Linked DNA regions of Alligator mississippiensis. The protein of the gene in region 3 purifies or fractionates together with the protein of the main gene of each other region. This does not show direct contact. Links are inferred from orthologs where the notes say so. Each region holds a gene or a part of one and is shown on either strand. Other genes may lie near its edges.

The links.
Region 1: the proteins of SYMPK (region 3) and CPSF1 fractionate together in Homo sapiens (co-fractionation; 5 studies listed by BioGRID and IntAct, with this or other methods). This does not show direct contact. The link is inferred for Alligator mississippiensis from reciprocal best matches to the Homo sapiens genes SYMPK and CPSF1.
Region 2: the proteins of SYMPK (region 3) and CPEB1 purify together in Homo sapiens (affinity purification with mass spectrometry; 3 studies listed by BioGRID and IntAct, counting the BioPlex papers as one, with this or other methods). This does not show direct contact. The link is inferred for Alligator mississippiensis from reciprocal best matches to the Homo sapiens genes SYMPK and CPEB1.

The regions. Positions count from the first base shown.
Region 1 is NC_081826.1:1,524,972-1,534,973, reverse strand, and holds the start of CPSF1 (cleavage and polyadenylation specificity factor subunit 1), read left to right. Parts: upstream 1-5,431; 5' UTR 5,432-5,535; intron 5,536-7,219; 5' UTR 7,220-7,245; coding exon 7,246-7,389; intron 7,390-8,646; coding exon 8,647-8,674; intron 8,675-9,518; coding exon 9,519-9,652; intron 9,653-10,002. Other genes in the region: SLC39A4 (zinc transporter ZIP4), read left to right, coding at 1-73, 172-352, 568-740, 1,590-1,748, 1,964-2,068, 2,329-2,383, 2,801-2,953, 3,411-3,598 and 1 more. UniProt on the Homo sapiens protein: Component of the cleavage and polyadenylation specificity factor (CPSF) complex that plays a key role in pre-mRNA 3'-end formation, recognizing the AAUAAA signal sequence and interacting with poly(A) polymerase and other factors to bring about cleavage and poly(A) addition.
Region 2 is NC_081834.1:46,026,644-46,036,655, reverse strand, and holds the start of CPEB1 (cytoplasmic polyadenylation element-binding protein 1), read left to right. Parts: upstream 1-5,441; 5' UTR 5,442-5,532; coding exon 5,533-5,547; intron 5,548-5,646; exon of another isoform or gene 5,647-5,715; intron 5,716-10,012.
Region 3 is NC_081838.1:441,621-450,812, forward strand, and holds the start of SYMPK (symplekin), read right to left. Parts: upstream 4,097-9,192; 5' UTR 4,082-4,096; coding exon 3,923-4,081; intron 3,721-3,922; coding exon 3,568-3,720; intron 3,083-3,567; coding exon 3,017-3,082; intron 2,762-3,016; coding exon 2,708-2,761; intron 2,430-2,707; coding exon 2,356-2,429; intron 1,256-2,355; coding exon 1,129-1,255; intron 800-1,128; coding exon 550-799; intron 212-549; coding exon 41-211; intron 1-40. UniProt on the Homo sapiens protein: Scaffold protein that functions as a component of a multimolecular complex involved in histone mRNA 3'-end processing. Specific component of the tight junction (TJ) plaque, but might not be an exclusively junctional component. May have a house-keeping rule.

The DNA.
Region 1 (10,002 bases), on a different chromosome or scaffold from region 3:
TGCACCCGGGTGGCTGCGGCTCAGCGCCACGGAGCCGGACCACATGGACAACGGCAGCCACGTGTGGGACACGGTGAGCAGGGCGGTCGCTGCCCTCCCCAGCCCGGCTGGAGCCACCCCGGGGCCCCGGTGCCCAGCCCAGCTGGTGCTGACCCCGGCTGTGTTCCCCAGGCCTGCCTGAGCGCCCAGGACCTCCTGGAGGTCTACGGCTTGGACGCACAGACGGGAATCTCCAGCCAGGACTTCTCTCGGCTCAGCCCGGCTCTGCTCCAGCAGCAACTGAGCGGGGCCTGCTCTGGCCTGCCCGCGGGCTCCGGCAGCAACCGCGACGGGCGCCTGAGCGTGGCTGAGAGTGAGTGCAGGGAGCCCGGGCATGGGAGTTGGGGGTGGGGATCGGGCCCCGATCCAGCCTCTAGTGGCCTGATCTGCTCTGGGCCCCTGAGTTAGGGGGCTGCTGCATGTCCCTGGTCACACGGCCAGATGCCAAGGCAGGAGACCCCCCACCAGGGCAGGGGCAGGGGCAGGGGAGAAGGAGCAGCCCCCGTGGCTGACGCCCGCTGTCCCCAGAGTACATCTACGGCTCGCTGGCCACGCTGGTCATCTGCCTTTGTGCCCTGATGGGCATCGGCGTGCTGCTGTGCACGGCCTGCATCAGCACCTACCAGTACGTCATCCAGACCTTCCTCAGCCTGGCCGTGGGCTCGCTCACCGGCGACGCGCTGCTGCACCTCGTGCCCCAGGTGAGCGCGGGGCGGGCGTGGGGTGGCACGTGTGCATGCAGGTATAGGCACCGTGCTGCATGGTGCGTGCCGGAGGAGGGGGGTGTATGTGTGTGTGGGATGATACGTATGTATGCATGTATATGTTGTGTGGTGTGTGCTGGGGAAGGGGGTGCATGGGATGGCGCACATATGCACAGGTTTAGGCACATGATTGTGTGGTGTGTACTGGGGAAGGGGGGTGTATGTGTGGGATGGCATGTGTGCACACATGTAAACACACATGACTGTGTGTTGTGTGCCAGGGATTGGGGGTAGAGTATGGGAAGGCACATGTGTATGTATGTATGCACGTGGCTGTGTGGTGCGTGCTAGCGAAGGGGTTATGTGTGTGAGACAGTACATATGCTTGCATGTATATGCACATGGCTGCATGGTGCATGCTAGCTGGGGAAGGGGTATGCGTAGGATGGCACATGTGCAGGCGTAGGTGTGTGTGTGCTTGCACATGGCTGTGGGAATGTGTACACGTGGGCATGTGATCTGCCACCCAGTGTGCAAGGCAGGACTGAGGGTGAGCGCAGAGCAGCAGAAGGTGCATCTGTTTGCCTGTGCGCATGTATGTGGCTGCCTGTCTGCACCCAGGGCTGCGTGTGCCTGTACATGTGTGTGTGTGTGCAGCGTGTGAAGTGGGCTGAGCCTGCATGGGGGGGGGAGGAGTGCACACAATTGGACGCCTGTACACGTAAGTTTGCTGCCATTTGGCCCGCGTGCAAGGCAGATGCATGTGCCCGGGGGGGTGACGGAGGGGCATGGCACACATCAGGTGTGCAAGGGGTGCTGAGGCCAGCCCCTGCCCCATCTTTGCAGTTCCTGGGCCTGCACTCGCATGCGGACGATGGCCACGGGCACGAGCACGGCGCGGCAGTCGCAGGCAGCACCTGGAAGCTGCTGGCCGTGCTGGGCGGCATCTACGCCTTCTTCCTGCTCGAGAAGTTCTTCAGCTTCCTGGTCCAGGCGGAGCACCAGGTGCGGGGCTGGGCCATGGCGGGGGGCGGGGGGGCTCGCCCTACAACTCGGGGCTCACAGGGCAGCAGGGGCCGCTGTGCTGGGGGGTCCAGCAGGGGGCGCAGTGCTGTGGGGTGGGGTGCAGCAGGGGGTGCCCCCTGTGCCCCGCAGGCCCCCTGGTGGCTGCACAGCAGGGGTGGCGCGGGGCAGGGGTGATGGGTGCTTGTTGCACGCAGGAGTCGGCCGGGGGCCACACGTGCGACCACGCCATGTCGCTGCAGCTCTACCAGGATGAGATGAGGCGGCGCAAGCAACTCAGAGGCGCCTCGCAGACCGACCTGGTAATGCCCTGGAGGGTGGGAGCAGGGGCACGGGTTGCCCCCCAGTCTGGCATGCCCCCACGGACATGGTCTGAGCCTCCCAGGGTCAGGCCAGCAGGGGCGTGGATAGAGGGGCATGGATTCAGTGATGCCTGCCTGGGACTTGGCCCCTCGGGTTTGGCCGTGGGGCAATGCCCCTGTGCCCAGAGGGTGTTTGGAGCGTGGCACACACGTGTGCAGCCAGCTTGTGCGTCACACCTGTCCATGCTTCCATCCTGTAGGTGCGGGCGGAGGAGGCCTGTCTGGGCAAGGCCAGCAAGGAACAGTACAGTCGGGGTGAGTGGGGGCCCCGGGTAGTGGAGGGCAGCAGCTCGGGGTCACGCGTGCCCGCTGACATGCGTGCACCCACACACGTGCGTTCACATGCACATCCATGCTTGTACACACATGCGTTCTTGCACATGTGTACATGTACCTGGACACAAATACATGCACGTAATCTGCCTCCTGCACATACACATACATGTACACACGTACACTTATGCCCACACATGCACCCTCACGCATGCACACACACACACAGGCTTGCGCACAGAGGCACCAACACATTTGTTGCGGGGGAGGCTGCTGACATAGCGATTTGCAAGGCCCAGCCCCTGGTGCAATGGGTCTAGGCCCCAGGGGACGACGGAGCTGCTGGGGCACTGGGGCAAGCACGTCCCAGCCTTGCCCTGACACCCCGGTGCCCTGCAGAGCTGCGCATGATCCCCTACATGATCACCATCGGCGACGCCATCCACAACTTTGCGGACGGGCTGGCCGTGGGCGCCGCCTTCTCTACCTCCTGGAAGACCGGGCTGGCCACCTCGCTGGCTGTGGTGTGCCATGAGCTGCCCCACGAGCTGGGTAAGGGGCCAGGGAGAAACCCTGGGGCCTGGTGGGGACAGAGACCCAGAGACCCCAGCCTCAGTCAAGGGCTTCATCCATCCCTATGGGACCCAGCCCAGGAGCCCACCCGGGGACACCATCCATCCCTATGGGACCCAGCCCAGGAGCCCACCCAGGGACGCCACCCAGCCCCATGGGACCCAGACCAGAAGCCCACCCGGGGACACCATCCATCCCTATGGGAAGCAGCCCAGGAGCCCACCCAGGGACGCCACCCAGCCCCATGGGACCCAGCTCAGGGAGCCCACCCAGGGACGCCGCCCAGCCCCACGGGACCCAGCCCAGGAGCCCACCTGGGCATGCTGCCAAGTCCCATGGCAGCCATCCGAGAGACCCCAACCCTGGGACCCTGCCCAGCCCCGTGCCGCACAGCCAGGCCCTGACCCTAACCCTGTTCCTGTCCCCGCCCGTGCAGGGGACTTTGCGGCACTGCTGCACGCGGGGCTGAGCGTGAAACGGGCCCTGCTGCTGAACTTCTGCAGCGCCCTCACTGCCTTCCTGGGCCTCTACATCGCGCTCTCGGTCACAGCCAGTGCCGAGTTCGAGGCCTGGATCTTCACCGTGGCCACCGGGCTCTTCCTCTACGTGGCCCTGTGTGACATGGTGAGCAGCGGCCCGGCTCCCAGGGCTCAGCGGGGAGGGACAGAGCCTCAGTCCTGGGGTGCTGCTTAGAGCCGAGAGCCCAGGACAGGGAAGAGGCCATGGGTCGGGAGAGGCACTGGCAGGGCTTGGGGGGAAAGGGGACGTGGGTTGGAAGTGAGGGGCACCAGCAGGGCTGGGGGGCAGGGGCTGCAGGTTGGGAGCGAGGGGCAGCTCTCACGCCTCTCTACCCCTTCGCAGGTGCCAGCCATGATGAACGTGCAGGACGAGCGGCCCTGGCTGCTGTTCGTGCTGCACAACGTGGGGCTCGTGGGCGGCTGGGCCGTGCTGCTGCTGCTCTCGCTCTACGAGGAAAACATCACGCTCTGAGCCCCCGCGGGGGCAGCAGGGGGCGGCACGGCCACGTGGTGGCCACGGGCAAGCTGGGAGCCGTCGCAGGACCCAGGGGACAACACGCACATGTGTGTGCATGCACGCACGTGTGCACGGAGCATATGGGACCTGCTGTATTTATTTAATTTATTCCACTGCAAGTGGCAGCACCGCCCTGACACCTCTCTCCCGCCCGGCCCCTGTGGGCACTGTCCTGCCCGGCTCGCGGCACAGGGACAGGGACGGGGACGGGCGGGGGCACCGGCTGCACGTCCTGCGACCGAGGAGAATGAAGAGTTTTCACTCAACGCTGTCGTGGAGAACCCGGGCGTCCGGGCCCAACCCCCAGAGCCCACGTGGGCACAGAGCCAGTACTGCCAACCCCGCCGTGCCAGAGATCATGAGACAAACTTAAAAAATAGATCGACCTGTAAATCATGAGGTGCTATTTTTGAAGTGTGTGCGTGCGGAGGGGGGCGGGGGGTTGTCGGTGGAGGTGTGGGGGGCTGTGGGGGGCTTGGAGCCGGGGGGCAGGATGCGGGGGGCTGTGGGCCACGAGTGTGGAGCAGACAGACACGCAGCGCCCAGCAGGGACACGGAAGAAAGGGGCAGGGCAGGGCAGGGCAGGGCAGGGCAGGGGTGAAGGGCCCCAGGGCTGGGCGGGGGGTCCAGAGGCGCGTGGGGGCTGCATGGGGAGATCCAGTCGGAGCTACTTTGCCCCTGAAATCCCGTCTCACGGCGGTTACACAACAGTCCACCACTGAAACCCCGGGCGTCCGGGACCGGCATCCGAGAGCCCCCGTGGGCACAGCACCCGTGTCATGCCCGGCCCCCCAGCCCCCGTGGGCACAGCTCTCCAGTGTCCCGGCCCGGCCCCCCCAGCCCACGTGGGCACAGCTCCCGTGTCCCGGCCCGGCCCCCCCAGCCCCCGTGGGCACAGCACCCGTGTCCCAACCCCACAGGGCCCACGTGGGCTCAGCACCCCAGTGCCCACATGGGTGCAGCACCCGTGTCCTGGCCCGCGTCCCCGGAGCCCACGTGGGCGCAACTCCGCAGTGTCCCAGCCCAGCACCCCCAGAGCCCCCGTGGGTGCAGCACCCCAGTGTCCTGGGAAAGACCCCCCAGCCCATGTCAGCGCAGCACCCCCACCCCACGTGGGCGCAGCCCCGCAGTGTCCTAGCCCGGCCCCACACCCCACGTGGGCAGAGCACCCCCGCGTCCCGGCCCTGCCCCTCACACCCCACGTGAGCGCAGCCCCAGCGCCCGGCCCGGCTGCGTCACACTCCAGCCCCGCCCCTTGCTCCTCCCCCTCCCACTAGGGGGCGCGGCTAGATCTGGCGGACTCCCCTCCTCTATGATCTCTCGCTACCCGCGCGGCGCGGCCCGTCTAGCCAGCACTTCCGGGTTACAGTTCCTCGCTCGGGGAGGCGTGGCTAGGCCTGGAGGACCGCCTTCCGCAGCGCGCTCTATGACCCCGGCTTGCGCCCCGCTCGCTGCCGCTCTAGCCGGGTACTTCCGGGTGTCGGTGGCGGCCGGTTGGAGGCTTCCGGCGGGTGCATGAGGCGGAGGTCGGTGCTCCCGGGAGGGCCTGCCCGCGCGGGGGGGAGGGGCAGGTTTAGGCAGCTGGAGGGGGTGTGGGGGGCTGGTGTGGGCAGAAGGCGGGGCAGTTATGGGGGGAGGGGCAAGTCTTGGAGTGGGGGAGGGGTTGGTCTGGGGGTGGCGGTGCTGGTGCCTGCAGGGGGAGGGGCTGGTGTTGGCAGGGGTCGGATCCGGGGGGTGCTGAGGTGAAGCAGCTGGTCTCGGGGGTGGTGCTATGTGGGTGCCCCCGCCCCTGGGATCCCGGCCCCTCCCACAGATCTGGCCGCCTGCCCTGCCCCCACTAGCCGGACCGCGGATTGGGCCCCCCTAGCACCATCCAGCTGGGCCGGGCCCTAACTCTTCCCCGCCCGGGGGCCGTGTGGCCAGGCTGCCCCCCAGGTGTGGCATCCGGCGCCCTAGGGATTGACACCCCCACGGATGCGCTTCGCTAATCGCCGTCGTGTAGCCCTGCTACGCGTGCAACAGAAGCTGCGTAGAAACCAGTGTCGGGAATTGTTACATATTTTCAAGCGCCCACTTTGTGGCTGGACGTCCATTTTTATGTCATGATTACTTTGCACGCGTGGCCGGTCGAAATGTACTGTGCGATCGCCCGCTAACTGCATAATGTACGCAACCTAACAGGGGCCTTCTTCAGGTGTGTAGCGCAAAATCTGCCTCCTCGAGCACCTTGACGCAGCTTTGCTGCCGGTTGTTTGCTCACCGGCGTTAACGCGAGCTCCCGGGAGCTCAGGTTTGTAGCTAGAGCTGAAGGCAGCCTGCGGGGCTGCGAAATGCATGAGAGACGTTACAGAGAGCAGCCAGCAGACATCGCTGCGGGAGGAAGGATGATCGCGTGAGAGCGATGTTGTAGCAGCGATGGTCCAGACGTTATGTGAGAGGCAGGGGGTTTTTCCAGGCGATGTCTTGGGTTGCCCCAGCTGGGTAGTTGGGATAGTGTCAGGCAAGCTTTCAAATGCAAAATGTTCTTCATCAGGAGGAGCTGGCGGCGTGAAGAGAGATTAGCAGGAATCCAGGAGGCGATCATAAGCCGTGACTTGGGGTGGGATAGCTGTGCGCGCAGGTGCGGGCTGGGGAGTGGCGCTGCGGAGACGAGGCCGGCACAAGGCTCCTGCTGGGCTGCACGGACACCTGAACATCAAGGGCAGCGATTCTCCACTCTGTGCAGCCCTGGGGAGGCTTCCCCTGGAGCCTTTTTGTCCAGGTCTGGGCCCCTGCGCTTCAAGAAGGATGTGGGCAGATTGGAAAGAGTCCAGAGCAGGGCCGCAAAGACGATCAAGGGAGACGAGACTGCTGAGAAGGGGCTGGGAGAGCGAGGGGCATTGAGTCTGGAGAAGAGAAGCCTCGGAGGGGGATTTAATCACAACCTTCAGATACCTGGGGGTGGGGATGGGCTTCTCTCTGTGGCCGTTGGGGACGGGACTAGGAGAATGGCTTCAAGCTGCAGCAGGGGAAACAGGCTGGGGATGAGGAAAGCGCTGATGCTGCGGGTGGTTCAGCTGCCCAAAGACATGGGGGAATCTCCGTCCTTGGGAGCTTTCAAGAGCCGCTTGGGCAGACACTTGCTGGGCTGGTCGAGTCGGGGACAGTCTGCCTGGAGCAGGGGTCAGACTGGATGTGACCTGCCGAGGTGACAGCCACGTGTCGTTGCAGGGCGGCGTGCATGGGAGCCAGCGGGGATGTATGCGGTGTACAAGCAGGCGCACCCCCCCACGGGGCTGGAGTTCTCCATGTACTGCAACTTCTTCTCCAACACTGAGCGCAACCTGGTGGTGGCGGGGACGTCGCAGCTCTACGTCTACAGGCTCAACCATGACTCTGAGGTACCCCCTGCTTGCAGCCATGCCCTGGGTCTAGGGAGGCCTGGCGCTAACCCTGTGCCCTGTTTGGGCACCCAGCCCTCTGCTGCAGTTCAGGGCAGGTGGCTTTTAGGCACCTTTGAGCACTGAAGGGGCTGAGTCTGCAGGTGGGGGCAGTGGCTCATAACCCCAATGGAGCCGGCTAGCCTGGTGCAGCGCTGTGCTTGAATTGCTGCACTGCTTCTGGTGCTGGAGCCGGCTCGAGGACCTCGGAACGGCTCTGCCTGGCTCCCCAGAGACGTGCCCTTAACTCTGCACGCAGCCTGCGCTGAAAAGTGCTGCAGGAATTCAAGCGTCGATAGAGACCCAGCTATGCCCTGCCCTGCAGCAGGAAGCCCCCTCATTCTTGGAGGACTCTCCTGGACCTCTGGGCTCATGGTCCCGCTTCTCCTTTGTGGTTGCCTGCCAGTCTCTGCAGGGGAGCTGCTGGGGTCTAGTTCTGCCTCGGTGGCTGCCTGAGATGGGCAGTTTCCCTGGCTGTGATGGGGACGGGACTCATTGGGAGGAGGAGGGCTGAGCGCTGCAGCTCTGCTCTAGGACCTCGCTTCTGCTGCAGCTGAAAGGCTTTTCTGCTCCAGGGCTGCAGCCCTGGCACTTCGGTCCCCCCCTTGAGCGCTGAGCTCTCCCTCTGTGGGCATCAGGGCATCGTTCCCTTTTGTCAGGGTGGTGGCTGCTGCTCTTGCTGAGAGGGAAGGGAAGGAGAAAGCAATATGCCTCTCACCCGCAATGAACCTGGGGAGTGGTACGAGGCTGCATGGGGGGTGCTTACCTCTCTGAACCTGCGGCTGATGCTTGTGCTCTGACTGACATAATATTTCACAGGTGCTGGCATTGTACTTGCATCACGTCTTGGTGTTCCCAAGGGGCTGAGGGCAGGGGCGTTGGCAGAGCCGTGGGTCAGACCTGAGGGGTTCAGCTGAGGCCATGAGGCTTCAGGGCCAGGTGCGGGGGGGCAGGTTGGGACTGAGAAGCCCTGGTGGGGGATAGGGGGAGGCTGTGAATGAGTGTCGAGGGGCAGACTGGTGTGAAGGGGGCGGCAAGGCCATCAGCCAGCCCTATTCCTTCTCCTCTGTGGTCAAACTAGTCGCCCTCATGCTGGGGACGTTTCACTCCCCGCTTTTTGCCCCGGGGGGAAAGCTGGCTGCCTGGGCTGTGGGGAGCATACCACAGAGCTCCCCGTGCTGCCTGTAGGTCCTGATGCAGCTCTTCCTTCTTTTCCAGACCTCGAGTAAAGGCGACAGGAACACAGGTAGGTGAGCGGTGAACACAGGGCAGGCTATGCTGCAGCGGCAGGGGGGGACCATGGCCTCCTGGGTCTCTGCTCCCTGGGGGAGGATGCAGTACCAGAACGGGGTGAGCGTGAGCCCTGTGTGTGGAACCCAAGAGTGACAGGAGCACCCCAGCCCAAAGCCCAGGTTCTCACTGCCCCGTAGGGTGGAGTCCAGCTGGCTCGGTTTGAGGTGGGGAGGTCTCTTAGTTGCAGCCGCACTAGAAAGCCAGATGGCCTACAGGCTGGCGCCCCTGACACAGCCTGATCAGGGCATTTCCTCTCCTTCCCAGCCCTTGAGAGGGCTCCTGGCTCAGGGCAGTTTACTGTTTCCCTGCTGTCCTGCAATCAGGACTCCTGCTACCGCACCTCCCCAGAGGGACTACCCATGGGACAGTGTTGTGCTGAGCTTAGCTATATCCCCTTTCCCTCTGACGTGCAGCAGTTCCCAGTGCTCTGCCCAGGGCCTGTCCTCTGCTGGTTCTTGAGCTGGCCCTGTTGGGCAGTCCTGAGCATAGGAAGAGGAGAAGTGCGGGCTCCAGCCGATAGCCATGTCTGGCTTGGCTTGGCCCCAGCTAAAGCAGGCAGGGGAGAGTCTGTGGGGACACAAAGGGAGTCAGCCACAGGCAGGGCAGGGTGGGGTGGTCATGCTGCCTGGGGAGGGCTGTAGATTGGGGTGGAGAGAGAGAAACATGGGCTCCCATTGTTGCCTTCAGCCTCTCACTGTTTCATCTGAGAGGTCGTGAGGCCCTTGGGATCAGGCCAGCCCTGCCTGGGCTCTGGTCCCTGCCCCCCATTCAGGCCCTCCCCCTCTCTGTCTCTGCAGAAGGCAAAGGCCACAAGGAGAAGCTGGAACTGGTTGCGTGCTTCTCCTTCTTCGGCAATGTCATGTCCATGGCCAGTGTGCAGCTAGCAGGAGCCAAGAGGGATGCCCTGCTGCTCAGCTTCAAGGATGCCAAGGTGACTCCCAGGTGGTGGGGAGGGACCAGCTGTCTCAGCAGGATGCATCACAGCGGGGCTTCTCCCCCAGGCCTTCACTGGGGCTTCGGTATCCTCAAGCTTCCTCAGTTCTGCAGGCTGGGGCGGGGGCTGCAGGGCAGGGGTGAGGAGCACACAGTCATGGGGGGACTGTGTGGAGCAATGTCTCTAGCCTGTCTGTGCCAAGCCAATGCCCCAGCTTGGTGCTAGGGGCCTCTGTGCCACAGGCTGCTGTTGGGAGGCACTCTCTTAGGAGCTGCTACTACTAGACCTGACCTGAGCCTGGGGGATGGCACAGGTCCAGCATGGGGCATTGCTTTCTGCCCCCTCCC
Region 2 (10,012 bases), on a different chromosome or scaffold from region 3:
CTAGGGAAGGGCACAAGGCTTCATGGCTTGAAGGAACAACTCATTTACACACCTCTTCACCAAGCCAGAGAGCCCTGCCTTCCCTTGCTTCTCAGGCCTACCATGAAGATGACAGAAACCCAAAGCAGAGCTGAGGGGAATGGGCAGCTCCAGACATGGAGCCTAAAGCAATGTTAAAGGGCACACCAGCTGCCAATGGGGAGGGTAGGAAAAGGAAGCGTGGCTTCCCCCAGGAGTGGAGGAACGTCTTCAAAGTGGCAATGTGTACGCTAGGAAGGGTGGGTGGGCTTTGAGGGGAGGGACATGGGCTGGAGTGGGATGGGGTCACAGATGAAGGGAAGGGAGGCCCCACGGTGTCCAGAAGTTGTATCCTTGTTTCCTTACGCAGGGCAATTCATAAGGAGGAGGTACATTGCTCCTTAGAGTCCTAGTGGTGAAGGATTTATGTGGGCTATGAACAGATGGACACTAAATAGATAAAGCAAGTCCTGGCCCCAGCATATGCTGTGAATTCCCAAGCTAGCTGTGTCATATCCACCTGAATATTCATTTGCAGCAAAGGGGGAGGATGGTCTCATACTTCAAGCATGAGCTCAGGATGTAGGAGATGCAGCTCCATGCTGCAGCTCAGCCAGGTAATAGCTCTGTGGCCTCGGACAAGTTCCTTTCTCTCTGTGTCTGTTTCTCCATAAGGACTATGAAAATAAAGATACCTTTCTGTGGTCTGAGGCACTGCTCACTCATGGCTGTCTGGCACTCGGCTGTCTGCAGACAGGTGATGCTATAGTTGGGCAAATTGCCTGCCTTCCTTCCTTCCTCACCATCAGCATCATTGTTGCTTTAGTGTTGTTGTTTTTGTTGTTGTTGTTGTTATTCCCTAGGTTTGTGGCGCGTGCCAGTGTGTGTACAAACATAGGAAACTGCTAAGGAATCCAACAAGATTCCTGGCTAACTGTGGCCTTGGCCTCACCACGATCCACTGGCTGGGGAATTGGCTCCGTGGTCGGACCCAGAGGGTGGTGGTTGAAGGAAGTTAATCATCGTGGTGCGCTGTGACCAGTGGGGTCCTTCAAGCCTCTGTCCTTGGGCCAACACTATTCAACATCTTCATTAATGATGTGAACATTGGTATCAGAAGTGGACTGGCCAAGTTTGCCGATGACACCAAACTTTGGGGCAAAGCATCCACACCTGAAGACAGGAGGGCGATCCAGGCTGACCATGACAGGCTCAGCAAATGGGCGGATGAGAACCTGATGGTGTTTAACACCGAAAAATACAAGGTTCTCCACCTTGGGAAGAAAAACCTGCAGCATCCTTATAGGCTCGGCAGTGCTACGCTGGCTAACACTATGGACGAAAAGGACTTGGGGGTCATGATTGACCATAAGATGAACATGAGCCTTCAATGCGATGCTGCAGCTAGTAAAGCGACCAAAATGCTGGCTTTCATCCATAGATGCTTCTCAAGCAAATCCCGGGACGTCATTCTCCCATTGTACTCAACCTTGGTGAGGCCGCAGCTGGAGTACTGCGTCCAGTTTTGGGCTCCACAATTCAAAAAAGATGTGGAGAAGCTTGAGAGAGTCCAGAGGAGAGCCACACGCATGATCAGAGGTCAGGAAAACAGACCTTACGATGACAGGCTGAGAGCTATGGGACTCTTTAGCCTGGAAAAGCACAGGCTCAGGGGTGATCTGGTGGTCACCTATAAGTTTATCAGGGGTGCTCACCAGGATCTGGGGGAATATCTGTTCACCAGAGCACCCCAAGGGATGACAAGATCGAACAGTCATGACTGTTTCAGGCTGGACATAAATAAAGAAGAACTTCTTTACTGTCCGAGCCCCCAAGGTCTGGAATAGACTGCTGCCTGAGGTGGTTCAAGCACCTACTTTGAACACCTTTAAGAGAAATTTGGATGTTTATCTTGCTGGGATCCTATGACCCCTAATGACTTCCTGCCCCTGGGGCAGGGGACTGGACTCGATGATCTTCCGAGGTTCCTTCCAGCCCTAATATCTATGAAATGTATGAAGATATTATATGTGTTGATGATAACACAAGTATCCTACATTCATATGACCCTCTTCAACCCACGCAAATAGGCATCATGCAAACTACACAAGGATCTTGTTGTCCGCATGGGAAGCACTGCCTGAAATCCAGAACTTAACCAGAGGAAACAGAGGAGAAGAGTGTTGTGTGTCATCGGCATCAGAGGAGGGAGTTACCAAGCTGGGACTTCTTCAGAGCACCCAACTCCTTGAAAGTCCTGAATGATGTCCAGTAGCCAGGACCTCAGTTTTATAGCTCACTAAATGCTGCCCTGGACACCCTGCTGGAGGTATGGCTCTATGCCAGAGAGGAAAGAGCGCCTCTTATTGAACCAACAACAGTATGCCGGCAGCACATGATGGGTTCTCAACAAATACTTAGCTCAGAAGGCTTCAGCCAAGCACAGCTTGAAGTGTCATGCTACAAACAGAAGGAATTGCAGGGCAACCTCATTGATCTCTGTGTTTTGACATCATCCATTCTTATGCTGCCTTGCATTTCTGGAGAGGCTCTTTGCAATTGCCTTGGAGTACCATCTCTGTGACACCTCTTTCAAGTGACATCATGGGTTTGGACCAGGCTGCAGCAGCCTCATTAAATTGAACTGGGGCTGAGAATTCCCCCCTTGTGTCTCTCTCTCCTCCCGGCAGCCGTTGACATGGCAGCAGACGTCTCTCTGTCCCCCAAATGATGCAATTTCTCCGAGGCCCCTGAAAGCCGTGCCAATTCCGGTGTGTTCCTAGAATGCCTTTCCTTACCCAGAGGGAATACCTCCTAGCTGGTCAGCCCTGATAAAATAAACTAGGGGGTTCCCTTTGCTATTAATGCAGCCTTTTGTGTTAGCAAGAGCGTCTGCTCCCTCTGCTCAACTCTGCTTCTGCCCATCTCATTGCTCCTGCAGTAAAGTCTCAGTCCCTGCCCTCAGAACAATCACAGTTTGCAACCTGCCCTGCCTCACTGCTGAAGAAGCAAGCAGGCAACCCTGATAGAAGATGACAGAGAAACCCTCCTGCTCAACCCATCACCCTGGAGAGTGAGGAAAAGCTCACAGGAGTTATTAGGGATAGGAAAAGTAAACAGACCCTGTTTCTGAGAGACTTGGAAGTTCTCCCTGGGGCATCTTTGAGATCAAATGCACTTTCCCATCTGGGGGGTTTTCCCAGTCTCGGTGAAGTCAATGGCAAAGCTGCTGCCTGGGGCACTTGGAGTCTCTGGGTGGCTCTTGCACATTAAAGATTGATTTCCAAGTCCCCTTGGAGCTCTGCTCCAGCAGACCTGCAGCCCCGTCATCACTGTGTGGTAATGCATTATTTTGCGGTGGGCTCAGATCGAGCTGCTACATGGTGGGAGGGGGCACTGGCATTTCTTTATGAAGCCTGAAATTCTGCTTCTCCAATTATCTAAGTTTTTGCGAGGAAAAGGAAATACCCTTACCTCTCTGGCTGTTCTCATTGCAGAGAGGCCATTGCACACAAGAACCAAGTGCCACTGATGCAGCGATACCTAAAGCCAGCACTCTGAAGGATGTGAACACACCTGTTGTTTCACACAGGGGCTGTCTCAAACACCCAGCAATACCACATTAAATGTCAGCACACTGTGGACTCTTTCACTGAGATCAGCAGGAGGTGGCAGAGAGGAGAGGGAGGATGACCTGATGAAGATGTATTGTGAATGATGCTCATCTAGGCACTACAACCAAGTGGGTAGTGCCTCCCCCACTACCTGCCCCTTTGCTGCCAAGCTCATGAGAGCAGAGCCCTGAGTGTACTTGTATCCCAGGAAAGGGGTGATGAGCCCAAGGAGACAAGGGAATATATAGGACCATGACTCTAATATCTATACTGCCTCCCATGAGCACTGTCTCCTGCGTGGAGTTTATGTGACGGCTGGAGCTTGACAGAGCACCTGCATTCCCTTTCCCTCCCCACATCTCCATACCTGCCCATGATTTTCTCCTTACATAGATTCATAGATTCATAGATGTTAGGGTCGGAAGGGACCTCAATAGATCATCAAGTCCGACCCCCTGCATAAGCAGGAAAGAGTGCTGGGTCTAGATGACCCCAGCTAGATACTCGTCTAACCTCCTCTTGAAGACCCCCAGGGTAGGGGAGAGCACCACCTCCCTTGGGAGCCCGTTCCAGACCTTGGCCACTCGAACTGTGAAGAAGTTCTTCCTAATGTCCAATCTGAATCTGCTCTCTGCTAGCTTGTGGCCATTGTTTCTTGTAACCCCCGGGGGCTACACACAGGTCTTATTCACATTAGGATTTTTTTTTACTTTAGCATTTCCTAGCGGTAGTAAAAGTGCTAGGGCATCCATGCCAGCATTTTAAGCATCGTGCTATGCACAGCTGTCCTTTGCAGCCGAACAACATGGCACTTGAGATGCCTCCCAATGATGCCTGTACCAGTACACAACCAACCAGCAACATAAGAAGCGATAGGACATTTTAGGGACAACGGACTGCTTGCACAGCCTGATTTTGTCTCGGGAAGGACCAACCGAATCCAATGAAACAAATGCTCATGGGAAACCACATGAGATTCAGTTACCTGTTGGAGCAGGCAGAGCTAAACCCAGTGCCGTGTTGCTCAACCTGCGGGTCACAACCCAAAAGCAGGTGGCAGGAATATATGGCAGGGTCACGAACAACCTTTAAAAATGGATTCTCTATTCAAGGAGTAAAATGTGGGAAACCGTGGCTTTTCCCTTGCAAGCAGACAGCGCTCCAGCCTGCGAGGGGCTGCTTGGCACGCCCCACACACAGGGGCTGGGGGCAGCCGGTTGGGAGCGAGGGGCATGGGTCAGGACGTTTACAAATGGGTCCTGGTGCAAGCAAGGCTGAGACCCCTGCCCTGGCGGCCGGCCCCTGCTCTGGCGAGGCGGTCAGAAAATTACACCAGTCTCAGCTGCCCGGACGGCCCCGTCTGCGGCGACTCGCTGCCCAAGTCCTGGCAACCCTGCGACCAGTCCCAAGCAGCAGCGCGCCTGCACGCCTGGCGGGCCCCGGTGAGCTGTTAGTATGGGCCCCCTCTAATAATAATCATTATTATTTTCATAATAATCATTGTTTTCACCATTTTTAGGCCCCCTTTCTGTCTGGGCCCTGGGCAGCCACCCAGCGCACCCATGGCGCCAAGGGCTTCATAAAGGCACTTTTGTGCCCCCGCCTTCGCAGGCGGGAGCCCGCCATGTCCCCACACTTCAACACGCGTCTGGGAAACAGGAGGCGGCCGCTGCAGGGCGGAGGCGGGGAGCGGATGCCAGGCTGCGGCCCCTTTAACAGCCCCTGAGGGAGCGTCGGCGAAGTGCCCCGCGCGGGGCGGCCGCAGGGCGGGGAACGACGGGCGCCGGGGCCGCGAGTCCCGCCCTTTGGCGACGCCCCCCGGGCCCGCAGCGGCGGCGCCTATAAAACCCGCGGGGCCGAGCGGCGCGTGGCGCTGGGATTGGACTGCCCGCTCGCCCGCATGGCCTTCCCGCGGGTGAGCGCCGCGCAGAGCTGGGCCCGGGCGGCACGTGCCGGGTGGGGTGGGGTGGGGCGGGGGAGGGGCGGACGCGGCTCGGCCCGGCCCCGCCCCGCCCCTTTAAGGGCGGCCCCTCACGTGGGTTCACACGTTGGCGGCGGGGCCGGGCGCGGACGCCCTGACCAGGTACCGGGGTGGGGGGCGGCGGCGCGAGGCGGGCGGGGGCCGGGACGGGGCTGCCACGTGCGGCCCCGCGGGAGCGGGCAGTGTCTGGTGCCCCGCGGGCTGGGTTGCAGGGCGGGGCGCTCTGCTGCTGCGGGGCGGTGTTCGGGGTGGGCCGCTGCTCCCCGCCCGCTCGGGCGGAGCGGCGGGTCCCGTCCTCGCCCGGGTGGAGGCGCCGGCCCGGAGCCGGGGCTGCGTGGTGACCTTGCCCGCCGGTCCCACCCGCCGTCCTGGGGAAGGGGTGGGTGTGCTCCGCCCGGCTGAGGGGGTGGGACGGGACGGGACGGGACGGGAAGGGACAGACGCTTCTTGCCGGTAGGAAGGAAGCTTTCACTGTGTGGATTGTGTCCCGCCCGCGCCGAGTTCCCCGAACATCTTGCGAGCCCCTAACCCCGCGACAGAAGATGGAGCGAAGTCTGCTCTACCTTAGTCCGGGCGCTGGGCTGAAGTCCCAATTAATGCCTGGCGCCCTGCTACGGACTCGGGGCAGCAGCCTGCCTAGCGCAGGGGCAGGAGCCAGAGCCTCCACCCTGCCCCTGAGAGCCGCGGGGGATGGCGCAGGAAGCGACTGGCCGAGGGGATGGCTTTCTTGAACCTCTTTGCGGGGTGGCGGGGAGGGAGGCGTTCCCCTCCATGTACCTGAGCAGCCCCTCGCCTGTCCTGTCCCCCGCAGTGTCTTTTGTGGCTGTGGGGGTAGCAAGGCAGTGCTGTGTCTCTTGTGGGACTCTCCTACTAACAGAAGGAAGGCCCTTGCGGACAAGCACGGCGCCCAGTCTCGGAACGGCAGAGCTGCACCGAGCTCCTAGCCCTGGGGTTGCTGATGGAGCCAGTACAGATTTTTTGGGCAGTGCCAGAGTTCAGTCTAGTTAACTTGCCTCGGACCAAGTGATGCTGAAGACGCTGTCTCCAGGGGTTTGACACTGATGCCAGAGGGTCTAGGGAAGTGTTGCATCTTAAACAGGGCTGAGTGCACTGATCTAGGATCTCTGGCCCCACTGTTAACATGGGTTGGGTGTGGACAGGAGGAGAGAGCCTTCCTTTGGCTCCTCTCTGTTGGAGTGAAAAAGGATTATGGTGTATGGGCAGGCTCTGGGCCTGTCTAGAGTTTGGGTAGAGCTCTCCTCACTAGCCTGGGATCAGCTACAAGGGAGTCCCGTCATCCTGTCCCTGTCCTGTCTCGTCCCCCCATAAATAAAAGGTACGTTCATTATTTGCTTGCTCCATGCTGGGTGCCTGCATGGTGCTGCCTAGATAAAGCCCCTGCCCAGAGCTCTTAACCTCGGTAGGACAGGTCTCCTTAGTGAGGTGAGGGGTGGGAAGGGGTGTAGAAGAAGAAGAATAGGAGGGGAGAACAAAGAAAACACCTTGTCTGCTGGGCTGGGGTGGGACCACTTGCATTGCTGTCAGGCCACTGCTGGCCTTGCTGACTCTGCCCTGAGAGCAGGCAGCGCTGGGGCTGGCATGGGATTTGGATCTCTAGGAGAATCCTATCTCCCTATTTCATTCACGGAAGAACATGAAGGCTCAGATCAAGCATAGTCTGCTTGCCTGGCAAGGGAAACACTGTGACTGTGGAGGTGGTCTTCCTAGCCACACCGGGGAAGACTGCTGTCCTGGCATGGGGTTAGCACCTGCCAAGGTAATGTATAGTAAACCTCCCACTTAGCTGCTGGAGTGGAAAGGTCTTGGCTTTAAGCCCACTTTATGGGAATGTGGGACTTCTCCCTGGCTTGCCCCTGGAGCCTTATGGCAGAGGGCAAGCAAATCTCGGGGCATCTGAACCCCAAGCCTCCAGGTTTTGGGAACATCTGAAGCCCCAGGTTGGGGTGGAGGATGTTTGCTGGTAGTAGGGCCACTTATGGTTCTGGACTCTTGGATTTGGAATTGGTTTTGGCTAATTTGGCCTGGGAGATCTCTCTCTCTCTCTCTCTCTCTCTCTCTCTCTCTCTCTCTCTCTCTCTCTCTCTCTCTACCTCTCTCTCTCTCTCTCTCTCTCTTATTATTTTTTTTTTTTTAAATGAGAAATTCTGTGGTGCTTAGGGAAGCTCAGGTGTTACCTGGCAGGGGAAACGCCATGACCATCAAGGTGGTGTCCTAGTTGCACCCAGGGATAACGTTTTCCTGGCGTGGGGGTAGTACCTGCAGAGGTAATATAGTTTTATGCCAACTTTATGGAAACGGGAGACTCCTCGCTAGCTTGCTCCTGGGGCCATATGGCTGAGGGCAAGCAAAACTTGGGGGCCTCCAAACCCCAAGCCTCCGGGGTTAGGCCTGCACGTAGGATTCCCACCAAAGGATTTGAAAGCATCTGATGCCCCAGGTGAGGTAGGGGAACATTTGCCAGTTGTGGGGCCACTTATGGTTCTGGACTGACTCATGGATTCGGAATTGATCTGGCTGATTTGGCTTGAAACACGAAAAATTTCCACAGGGGAAAAAAAAAAAATCTCCCTATGTTGTTCCTCATTCCTGCTTTTCTCCTGCCTTATTAGCTGGCCCAGTTTTCCCTCTTCTCAGTTCTCTTGAAGCATTTTTGTTGCTCCTTGAACTCCCCTTCAGAGGGATTATTGCTGGAGGACCTTAATGAGGTACTTGGATGCCATTACCCAGGGAATCCTAGTTAGTATTTCTGGGAAATCTGCTATCACTAGTAAAAGCTCTAGAGAAATTGGAGCCTTCCTGGTCTGCTGTTTGGTCCTCCAGGGTTCTTGTCAGTTCCACCAGACAAAATGTTGTTACAGGCTGCTGCAGGGCTGGGCAGCTCTAGTTTGAGCTGCAATGAACTGCGGTAGTCGGAACTGTGCGAGTGGCTGTTGTTAGCAAAGATCCAGCAGTTTCCAAGGGCGGGTGTTGAAATGGCTCACCCTGTTCTATGGCACAGCTCTTGCCCTGGTTTAAATGCTTTGTCCGTACCTACCATGGCCTGTGGAGCTTGTGCTCTGTGCTTTTAGTCATGTCCCACCAGGGTGCAACATGCCCAGAGTAGAAGCTGTCTGGATGTTCCACGGGAGGGCGGGTGAACAGACTCCTAAATTCACACCTAGAGCTGTAACCAAGTTAAGCTTGGCTTCTTCACCAGCACCAAGGGTAAATTTAGCCTTTAGATCACAACTGAACTTATGACTATGGCTTATTTAGGCCTGTCCAAATTGGCGTTACTGCTGTAATTCGTTTCCTCTGTTCGCTTTCTATCTCTCAATGATTTGCTCCACCCTACTATCTATTGTAGTAAATATTGATAGCAGTTTTCTGTTTTACAGCCAATCTGAGTGTTGTGCAAGATGGGAGATGGTCTAGTTTTGGCCTGTGTAAGTGATACCCCTTAGTTGTCCTGTCTATTACAAAACTAGCTGCACGGGGGGGGGGGGGGGGGGCTGACTGCAGCAGAGTAGTTAATGCACATGTAGACGCGCCCAGTTTTGTTCTGCCATATTGGAAGCAAAAGAACTAAAGTGCATTAATGAAAATTAAATTTTAGTACCTCCAGGCACTTTTACACATGCTCTGGTGGTGGGGGAGGAGGGTGGCACTCCAAGCTGCTCTGATTAAAGTGGTGCCCTGTTTTGTGTATTGGTGTCCCTGTGCTTAAAAATGGTGGCAGGGGCACTTGAACTAACACTCCTCAAATGAGCTTTAGTTCAGGCACCCCCGCTGCCACTTTTAAGAGTGGGGATGCTAATATGTGAAATGTTGGTACGCAGTAATTGCCCTGCTTCAGCAGACTCGATTAATCAAGTCTGCTCTGACACAGTGGAATTCCTCCACGCTTGTGTGCAAGTGCCCTTCATTGCGAGGTACAGGCAGTCCTCAGACTTACGACAATTGGTTCCTGAAAACGGTGTCTTAAGTTGAAACGTTGTTACTCGGAACCGATTTCCCCCTCCCTCCCCAATGGGAAACAATGTTATTAATGGAGGATTGGTTCCTGAACCAAGGCCTGATACCCTGTTTTCACCAAAAATAACCCAGAATTTTGTACTCAATCAATTATAGATGAGTAATATAGCTACATTAATGTATTTGTATTGTAAATAGCAATCATATTGATTTGGAAGGACTTCTTTGAGGAGACTTTGCTGGACATTTTGAAGGGTTCTTGGTTGGACTTTTTGAAGGGTTCTTGTCTGTAGTTTTCTCAGGAGTCTTGTCTGCAGGTTTTTCTGGAGTCTTGTCTGCTTTCTTAAAGAAGGTGTCCAAGGAAGTTTGGACAGATGTTCTCCAGGGAGATGGGTGACGCAGTGAACTTGTTCACTGGCATGGC
Region 3 (9,192 bases):
TCCAGGGACGGGCGGGGCTTCCCCGAGGGGCAGGGCTTACCGTGCAAGGTCTCGTAGGCCTGGATGACCTCGGCCATGAACATGGGGCGCTGGCGGGCAATGGTGGCCAGGGAACCCAGCGCGGCCGTGAGGTTGATGCTGGAGATGGCCGGGTGTACCATGAACTTGAGCAGCTGCTCCAGTGCCGCCTTGCCCTCATCCCACAGCATGTCTGCAGGGCAGAGGAACCAGGTCACCAGGAGAGTGGATGGAGGGGGTCGTGCCAGGGGCTACAAGTCATGCTGGGGCACCAAGGGGGGGGCACACAGGGTCCTGGCATGGTTCAGAGAGGACCCAAGGGTCATGCCATGGCACTGGGTGGGCACAAGAGTCACACTGCACCAAGCGGGTGGAGAACAGGGATCATGAGGACAGCACGGAATTCACACCAGGGTCATGAGGGGGGATAAGGGATGCTGTCAGGGTCTGGGGGATCCTGAGCCAGGGGTCACACCAGGGTTCCCGAGGGGTCTGGGGTCACACCAGGGTCTCCACTGAAGTGAGACTCACTGTACTTGATGTAGGGGTGGTCACGGGGCACACGGTCCAGGCTGACGTCACCCTCGTGGCGCCGCGGCACATCCGAGTCGGGCAGACGCGGTGAGAGTGTGATGATGAAGGCCTCCACAAACTTGATGGCGTGGGTGCGCACGCCATCATTGTCTGAGTCTAGCAGCAGGATGATGTCAGCCGCCATGACCGACACCATGTCCCAGCAGGCCTCCTGCAGCTCATTCAGCGCCCGTGACTTCACCATCCACTGCCGGGACCGTGGGGGGTGGAAACGGGGTGTCAAAGCCCCCAGGGGCAGGCTGGAGCCCCTCTCCGGCCGTGGCTCACACAGCAGACAACACCCTGCTGTCAGCTCCTACCCTCACAGCTGGGACCAAAGGGGCTGGGAGACCACCCCAGCACTCCTGCTGGGAGACGCCCCCCTCCCCCCTCAGGCAGATCCTACCTCTGAAGCACCCAACATTGAGAGGACCCCCCTGCCCAGGCAGATCCTGCCCCCCAGCACCCCCTGCTAGGAGACCCCCCCCCAGACAAATCCCACTCCCCCCAATCAGCAGCACCCTACAATGGCCATACCTGCAGTGCCACCTTGTAGAGCTGGGTCATGGTGAGGATGGCCTTCTTCACCACGTTCACGTTCTCATCCTTCAGCAGCATGTTCAGGTTGGCGATGAGCTTCAGCAGCAGCTCAATGTCACGCTTGCTGAGGGGTGGCAGGTTGGGGGGGTGGGGGGGGAGGCGTCAGTGCCTACAACTGCCCTCCTGCAGGTAGCAGGGTGAGCCTGGACCTCAGGAAAAACTTGGGCAGTGTCCGAGCAGGGAGGCAGGGGACAGGCGCCAGGACAGGAGGGACACTCAGTCACTGCAGGGCTTTGTGGGGGGGGCAGCTGCTGGTGTGGGGTGATCCAGGCAGAGTGATGCCCATGCTCTGCTCTGGGGATGTCCCAGGCTTCTGGGCTCTGCTGATTGTTGCAAGGGGCTGGGAGGGCACTTAACCCCCTTCCTGTTGTTGCTCTAGGTGTCACGGGGTTTTTAAGCCCCCCCACCCGGAGGTGCTGGGTGCAGGGCTGGGGACTGGGCTGTGCCAATGTTCCTGCCGGCACCATCCCCACAGGGTCCTGGCTGGAGAGTCTTGCCCCTGCACTCAGGCTCAGCCCCACGCTGCACTGGGGCAGGAAGAGATTACCCTCCTGCTCAGACCAGTTCGCACTGGGGGTTTTTGCCTTCCCCTGAAGCAGGGGCACAGCCTCGACCTCGGCTCTGTAGCATCCATGACCCCCTGGAGGCAGCAGGATGTTGGCAGCCACAGCCCCTCCTGCTTTCCTGAGGTCAGGGGTGGGGGTGAGGTCCATGCTGACGGCTGTGTTGCTCCGAGGTCCGATGCTGGGTTTGTCTGGGCTGGCTTGGACGGGGCTGATCCTGCCTCAGACCAGGGCTTGGACTAAATGTGACCTCAGGGGGGTTCCATCCACCCCCAGTGCTCTAGGATTAACCAGCCTCACAGCAGCTTCCCCCTAGACCCCTGGGACTTGGATGGAAACTGAGGCATGTGGTGCTTGAAGGCTGAGGCTGAGCCAGGAATCCAGGCTCCCAAGCCACCTGCTCTCTCCCCAGACATGTCCCTAGCCCCCTGCCCTCACTGCCCATGCAGAGCTGGGGTCTTAGCAGCACCTCCCCTCCTCCACCTCCACTGCCGTCACTAACGAGCATGCCAACCTCCAAGCCCAGACTGCTAGCTTCCTGGCTGAATTCCCAGGGGAATCGCAGCCTGGGTCCCCCAGTCCAGTGCCACTCGTCCCTTACCAAGCCTCCTCGATGAAGCCCACGACGAACTTGCGCACCTCCACGGACTTGTCAGCCTGGAAGGCGATGATCTCCTGCGCGGGGGGGAGGGTGCAGGGGGGGGCTGTTGGTGGCACGCGGGGGGGTGCCCAGAGCTGCCCAGCAGGGCCGCACCATGTGGGGGAGAGGGGGCAAAGGGCCGAGCTGCCAGCTCTGTGCTGGGCAGACACCCCACAACCCCGGGACAGTTGCAGGGCAGACTGGCGATAGCTGGACCCCCGTGGTACCCCCCGCAAACACACAGCGGTGATGGGGCCATGGGGCATGGACACGCCAGGCTCCTCAGGCCTGCCCAGGGTGCCTGGCGACTCACGTCCAGGAAGTTGTCCAGCAATGTGGGGTCCTTGTTGATGATGAGCTCCTGGACCTGTAGGGAGGGGGATGGGGACAGGGACAGTGGGGGGCGTTATACAGCCAGCTGGGGCAGGCACCAGTGCCACCCACTCCCCCACTGCACACGGGTCTGCCATGATGGGCTGGGGCCTTCCAGTCCGGGAGAAGGCCTAGGACTAGAGCCAAGGAAGGGGGGGGCATCTTCAGGAGAAGGAATACGAGACCCCCCTCACCCCCAGGTTGAGACCCCGGGCTCTTGTCCCCCAGGCCGGGGCGGCTCTCCACACACCTGCTTGAGGATGCTGATCTTGGAGTCATTGCCAATGAGGGCGGCCTGGTTCAGCAGATCCACGACCTGCCAGGGACAGGGGCAGGTGAGTCCCGGGCACCCAGAAGCCCTCCTGCCACCTCAAAGCTGGGGGCTTGCACACCCACCCCGCCCTCGCCTGGGGGAATGACCCTGCGCCTCCCCCGTCGTGGGTGCTGGCAGCAGCAGAACAGCAAGGGCTCCACGCAGCACCGTGCACGGGCACGTAGACACCGGGCCCTGACACCACGTGTCCTGCACCCCTGTGGCCGGGCAGGAAGGGGGGCAGACTGCACGCGTGCCCAGGTCCCCCAGGTCGGGGGGCCGACTGTCGCCCACACGGGCTGCCGCAGTCCCACGCTGCCGGGGATCGTATCGGAGCCCACGGGAGCGGGCCCGGCGCACCCGGAGCTGCCCGTGCGTAGGCCGGGAGTCCGGCTGGCTGGCACAGGCCCCCGGCAGAGCAGGCCGCGGGGCCCAGCCGCAGGCGTCAGGGAGGCACCGAGCCGGAGCCGGAGCCCGCGGCCGCGCACCCGCTCCGAGGTGGTGGTGCTGTCGATGCCGCTGCCCTCCTCCTGCGTGAAGAACTGCGAGGCCACGCTCATGCGGGCCGTGGCACCGTCCCCAGAGCTGCTGGTGCTGGCCATGGCGCGGGGCTGGCCCTGCGAGCCTCTCAGCTGAAGCTGCTAATGAACCAAACCAATTAGTGCCTGGCCCTTGCCCCGAGACCCCGCGCCCGCGGTGGAGCCCAGGCCTGACCCCCCAAGGCCCCCCTCCCCCAACCCGGGGCTGCCCCTGCCCCCACTATGCCCCCAACCCCAGCCCAGCCCCCCACTCCACACTCTCGCCCCCCAGGCCGCAGCCCCCTGCCCCTGCCCCTGCCCCCACCTCCACCTCACGCGCCCTCGCGCCCAGCGCCGCCTCCCGCCGCCATCTTCCGGCCCGGCCCACACACACTGCGCAGGCGCGCGCCGCGCTGCCTCCTGGGAAATGTAGTCTTCCCGCTCGCTCCTTTGCCCCGCCGCGCTGCATGCTGGGATCCGTCATCCGCGGAACTGCGGGGTCACGGAGGTGCCCTTTGACCCCCGTCTTCCCCTGCCGCGATTGGCTTGGACACCCTCCCCCCACTTTGATGCGTTCTCACCCTAGCCTTGACCCCTGACCCCAGTGCCTCTCCTGCCGCCAGCCCCTCCGGTGGCACACGTAGACTCCTGCACATCCCCCGCCCCGTGACACACGAGCCCCTCCCGTGGCACACGCACAATCACGCACACGTGTGCACCCCCCCACGCAGGGTGGGATTTCATGGCTGGCACACGCGTGCACTCGGGTGTAGACACGTCTGCTGGACGCACTCCCGCGCACGCCCCCTCCCTGGCAGCCCTCGCCCCAGCGCCGCGTTGTCTCCAGGCCTTGGCCCTCGGCTGCTCCCGCCGGCGGCAAACACAGCTGTCATGTCCCGGCTCCGGGCAAAGTCCACGCCTGGCGTCTGCTGGGGCACAGTGGGGGAAAGGTGCCTCCCGCCCCCCGGGGCCTGGGGCCGCCCCAGGGCTGGGGGCGCGGCTCCCCAACCCACCGCGAGCGCCGCCCACCACAGGGGAAGGGGGCCCGGGCACCCGGGTCCCCCCGCGGCCGCGAGAGGGGTGATGTCGAGAGCCCGGACGCCCGGGTTCTGTGAGCGGCACCGCCGCAGGGTCCTGTGGGACCGAGAGGCCTCTCGCCCCGTGCCTCAGTTTCCCCTTTCTGTGGCCTGTGTGGGCGGGGTCGGTGTAAGCTTGGCCCAGGTGGGGGCACCCTCACCTTGTGCTGGGAGAGGGGGAGCAGGCCCCAGACTGCCCTGCCCCAGGGCGGAGCAAGCAGGCAGGAGCTGGGGGGGGTGGGGAGGTGCAGCTGTATCAGTGAGGCCCTTGCAGCTAAGTGAATGAAGGCGTGCCAGGTGTGCGAATGTGCGCACAAGTGTGCGGGGAGGTACAAATGATGGGACACAGGGACTGGGGTGCAAAGCATGCGTGGGCACAGGCATGCAAAGCAAGAAGGGGTGTGCAAAGGTGTTCAAGGATGCAAAAGTGTGAGTGTGCACAGACAAGCGCGCAAAACGAGTGCGAGTGTGCATGGATGTCCAAGGGTAGGTGTGCAAAATGAGGGTGACTGTGTATGGGCATGTGAGGGCAGGTTTGCAAAGCAAGCGTGAGTGTGCACAGGTATGCAAGGAGAGGTGCACAAACCAAACATGAGTATGCATGGGTGTGCAAGGACAAGTGCCTAAAGCGGGTGTGGGTGTGTATGGGCATGCAAGGACAGGCGTGCAAAGCAGTGGTAACTGCATGGGCAGGCAAGGATGGGGGTACACACGTGAGTGAGCACAGATGTGCAAGGACAGGTGTGTGGAAGTGAATGGTGGTGTGCCCAGCTGTGCAGAAGTAAGTGTGAGCATGGCCAGGCGTGCAGGGGCGTGTGTGCATTGGGGCGTGTAAGTGCGTGCAAGGGTGAGAACAGCATAACAGGCACAGGTGTGCAAGGTGAGTGTGCATGAGGGCGGGTGGAGGTGTTCACTGAGCCCAAGCGGAGGGCGGGGGGAAGGCAGCAAAGTGCTCCAGCGAGCTCCCTCCTGCCCCCACCAGGGGGCGCTGCTGCCCCGTGGGGCAACTCCAGCGACTGGGGGAACCATCCGGGGGCATTTGCTCCAGTGTGGCCTGGGCCGGGGCCGGGGCCGGGGCCCGGGCCGGGGCAAGGGCCCGGCCGGGGGATTGAGCCCAGGGGGGCGGCGCGGCTGGCAGTCATGGGGGGCTCCGGGCGCTGCGGCCGGGTGGGGCCGCGTCCCACCGCCGCCACCGGCTGCTCCTTATCGGGCGTCCTTGGCCCGCACCTGCCCGCGGTGCCACCGGCTACTCATTAACCAGGACTTCCTGTTGGCCCGGGGGGATGCACCAGGAGGGGAGGAGGGCGCCAGGGCAGGGGGTGCCTGGGGGGCCTCTCCTGGCACCACAGGCACCAGTGTGGGCGGGGGGAAGCAGAAAGGGCCCGGGGCACTGGTGCCAGCCCCCCCACGCCGTGCCGGGGCCCCGGTGCCGGCCGTGGCTCCCCAAGGGCCGCGGGGCGTAGCAGCTCCTTCCTGCCGGCCGGGCCCGGCTGTAAAATCATCACAAACAGCTTGTAAACGTCGGAGGTGTTTCGGGCGGGCGGGTGGGGGCCGGCTCCGCACAAAGAGCTCCGTGTGCCAGCTGCCCGGGGGGCATCGATCGGGGCAGGGGTCTGGCCGGGGTCCCTGCTCGGCCCGGGGTGTGGGGCCCACAGCGGCAGGACTCGCTGCTGACACCAGGGGCTTTGGAGGCAGCGGGGTGGGTCCCGCAGGGGCGTGGGGCCAGGCACAGCCCCTGGGGTACTACCCCGCCAGGCTCCTGGCCCCTTGCCAAGGGGTCCGGTCACCTGCACCCCGCTTCGGTTGACCCGGGTGGGACAACATGGCTGCCCCGGGATGCAAGGGATGCTGGGAATATCGGGGGGGGGCGGGAAGGGTCGTGCCAAACAAAACGGTGGTGACAACTCTCCAGGCCCCAAGGGACTCTGGGAGGAAAAAGACCCCCCCCCGCCCCCCCCAGGATCATGGCTGCTGGTACAAAATGGCTGGTTGCGGGACCCCAGGGGATGGCAGGGCCTGGCCTGGCCCAGGGGGGCAGCTCCAGGACAGAAGGGACCCCCCCAGTTCGTGGGGGTGGCTTCCGGCCATGCTGCCAGGGTGCGGCCCAGCACTCGTTAACCATTAACCCCCGGGTTGGCTAAGCGCCGTCCTGCCCCCGGCTGGTGCTATCCTCCCTGCCCCTGGGCCAGGCCGGGGCCGGCACTAGCTGGGTTCGGTTCCGACCCGGCCTGGCCGGAGCTGGGCTCCCCTCCCCGCCTGCACGCACAAATGTGCGGCCGGCCGCACCAGGCGCTGTACGCACCGGAGCCAAACACAGACTCCTGCTCCGGGGGGCTGTGGGGGGCGCAGCTGTGGGGCAGCCTCAGCCCAGAGGTGCCCCCCACCGCCCCTGCACCCTGGCTGCTCAGACCCCCCCAAGGCAGCAGGGATGGAGCAGGGCCTGGAAACCCAGCTCGGGTGAATCAACGCCGCCTTCTTCTCCCCGCGCCCCCCCCACCCCGGGGCCGTCTCAGTGTCCCGCTGTCTCACACCTCGGGAGGAAGCTGGCAGGGCGCACAGGAACACCTTTATGCTCAGGGCCGGGCCGCGCTCCCCACCGCCGGCCCAGCGCCCCGGCCACAAAGGCCCGAGTGTTCGGAGCCGTGCCCCCGCCCCGCGCGCGCGGCCGGCCTGGCAGCCCCTGGGCCCCGTGTTGACTCAGGGATGTATGGATATATATAACCCGCCGGGCGGGCGGATGTTTTCAGGGAAGCCGCGAGGATGTGAGGGCGGCTGCGTCGGCAGCGGCCCAGCGCTGCACACACGGCGGCTTGTTCCCCCCCAGCCCTCGCCTCTGCTCCAGGGCTTTTTCCCAGCTCAAGGTGTTCCCCAGCCCTTTCCCGGAGCCGTGGGGGCAGGGGTCCCGGCAGGGGGCAGGTCCTTGCTGAACCCGAAAGGAGCGGGCTGGTTGCCCCCTCCCAGTAGGAGGCGCTGTTCTGCCCCGTGCCGGGGCAGTAAGAGGTACTGCCTCCCCCAGCCACGCTGGACAGACATCCTGCCACGTGGATGAGCGGGATATCACCAGCGTTGCCAAACCCAGTGGGGCTTGGGGGCTCCCCCCCCCGTGCCCCTGCTCCGCTTTACGGGTGGAAGGTGGGGGTTCCTGGGGGGGGAGGGAGGCGGGCGGTGACGGGGCCGGGGTGGCAGTGACGGAGGCCGCGGGCACTGGGAGCTGCAGCCGTGTGTGCCGGTGTCAAAGGGGCCATTGTAGTCTCGCCCAGAGCCGTGGCCCCGGCGCGCCAGCCGCGGGGCGAGGGCAGGCTGTCGTGCCCTCCTGCTGGTTATTTATAACCTCCAGCAGGTATTCCACGTCCCCAGCCCCCCCCCGCTGCCCGGCCCGAGCAAAACTCACCTGATCTGCCTGGCCGTGCCCATGCCAAGCCCCCGGGAAGCTGGGGCTGGGCTGCCTGGCGCTGGCACGGCCCCGCCACCTGCCTCCCTCCAGATGCCCTGGTGTGGAGCACAAGGGAGACCCCAGCTGGGCCCTGGGGTTGGGGTCACGGAGCCCCCTCTGCATGCCTGGCAGGCGTGCGAGGGTGTGAGGGATTATGCCTCCATGTGCACACAGGCAGCTACATGGGTGAATCTCAGCATGCCCGGGACTGGGTTTGTGTGCATGTCTGGAATAACATGCAAATGTGCAGCTGTGTGATGAGATGTGTGTGGATGTGAGTGTAAGCCATGTGTGTGCTGAGCAGGGTGTGACAACGGGGGTGGCTTTGTGTGATGGCGTGAGCATGCAGACATCCCTGGGGAACTCGGGGTATGCACATGCGCACACATACACACACGTGTATGTGCCCGGATGTGCATGAGCACATGAGTGGGATTACAGTTGTGTGTGACTGCATGGAGGCATGCAGATGTGTGCATGACCACGTGCGTGTGTGTAAGCCCACATGCCTGTCACTCTATGAGCGGGTGTGTAGAAGCCCACAAGCGTGTAGTGGGGCCACTCTGCACAGGTGTGTGTGCACAAGCACGTCCATCTGTGAGGCATGGCACCCCAGCTGCCAACCCCATGGCCCGTGGCAGCCCCAGGGGTGGGCATGGGGAGCTCCCTGGGCACCTGCTGGGGCTGGCGTCGTCCTGCCCCACAGATCCGGGGCGGACCCGGGCGGGCGGGTGGTGGGGCTTGATGCAGCTGGCTCAGGCGCGCCCCAGGGCTTGGCTCTGTCCCCATGGCAGGCGGGGCCCGGTCACACGCAGGTTCCCTGGGGAGCGGGGCCAGGCGTGTCCGGGTCCCGGGCGTTCCCCAGGATCCCTGTGTTTGCCCTCGTGCCTGCGGGGAGGGGCCTGGCAGGGAGCAGTCAGCTGCGGCTGGGAAGGCCCTGGGGCACAGAGCCCATGGGGCGGGGGAGGATGGGGGGGCATTCCCACACCCCCCTTGGATAACTGTGGAGGCAGGGCAGAGACATGGGCACCTCCACCACTGTCCTGCCCTGTCCCCCCCAGCTCAGACCAGGAGGGAAACTGGGAT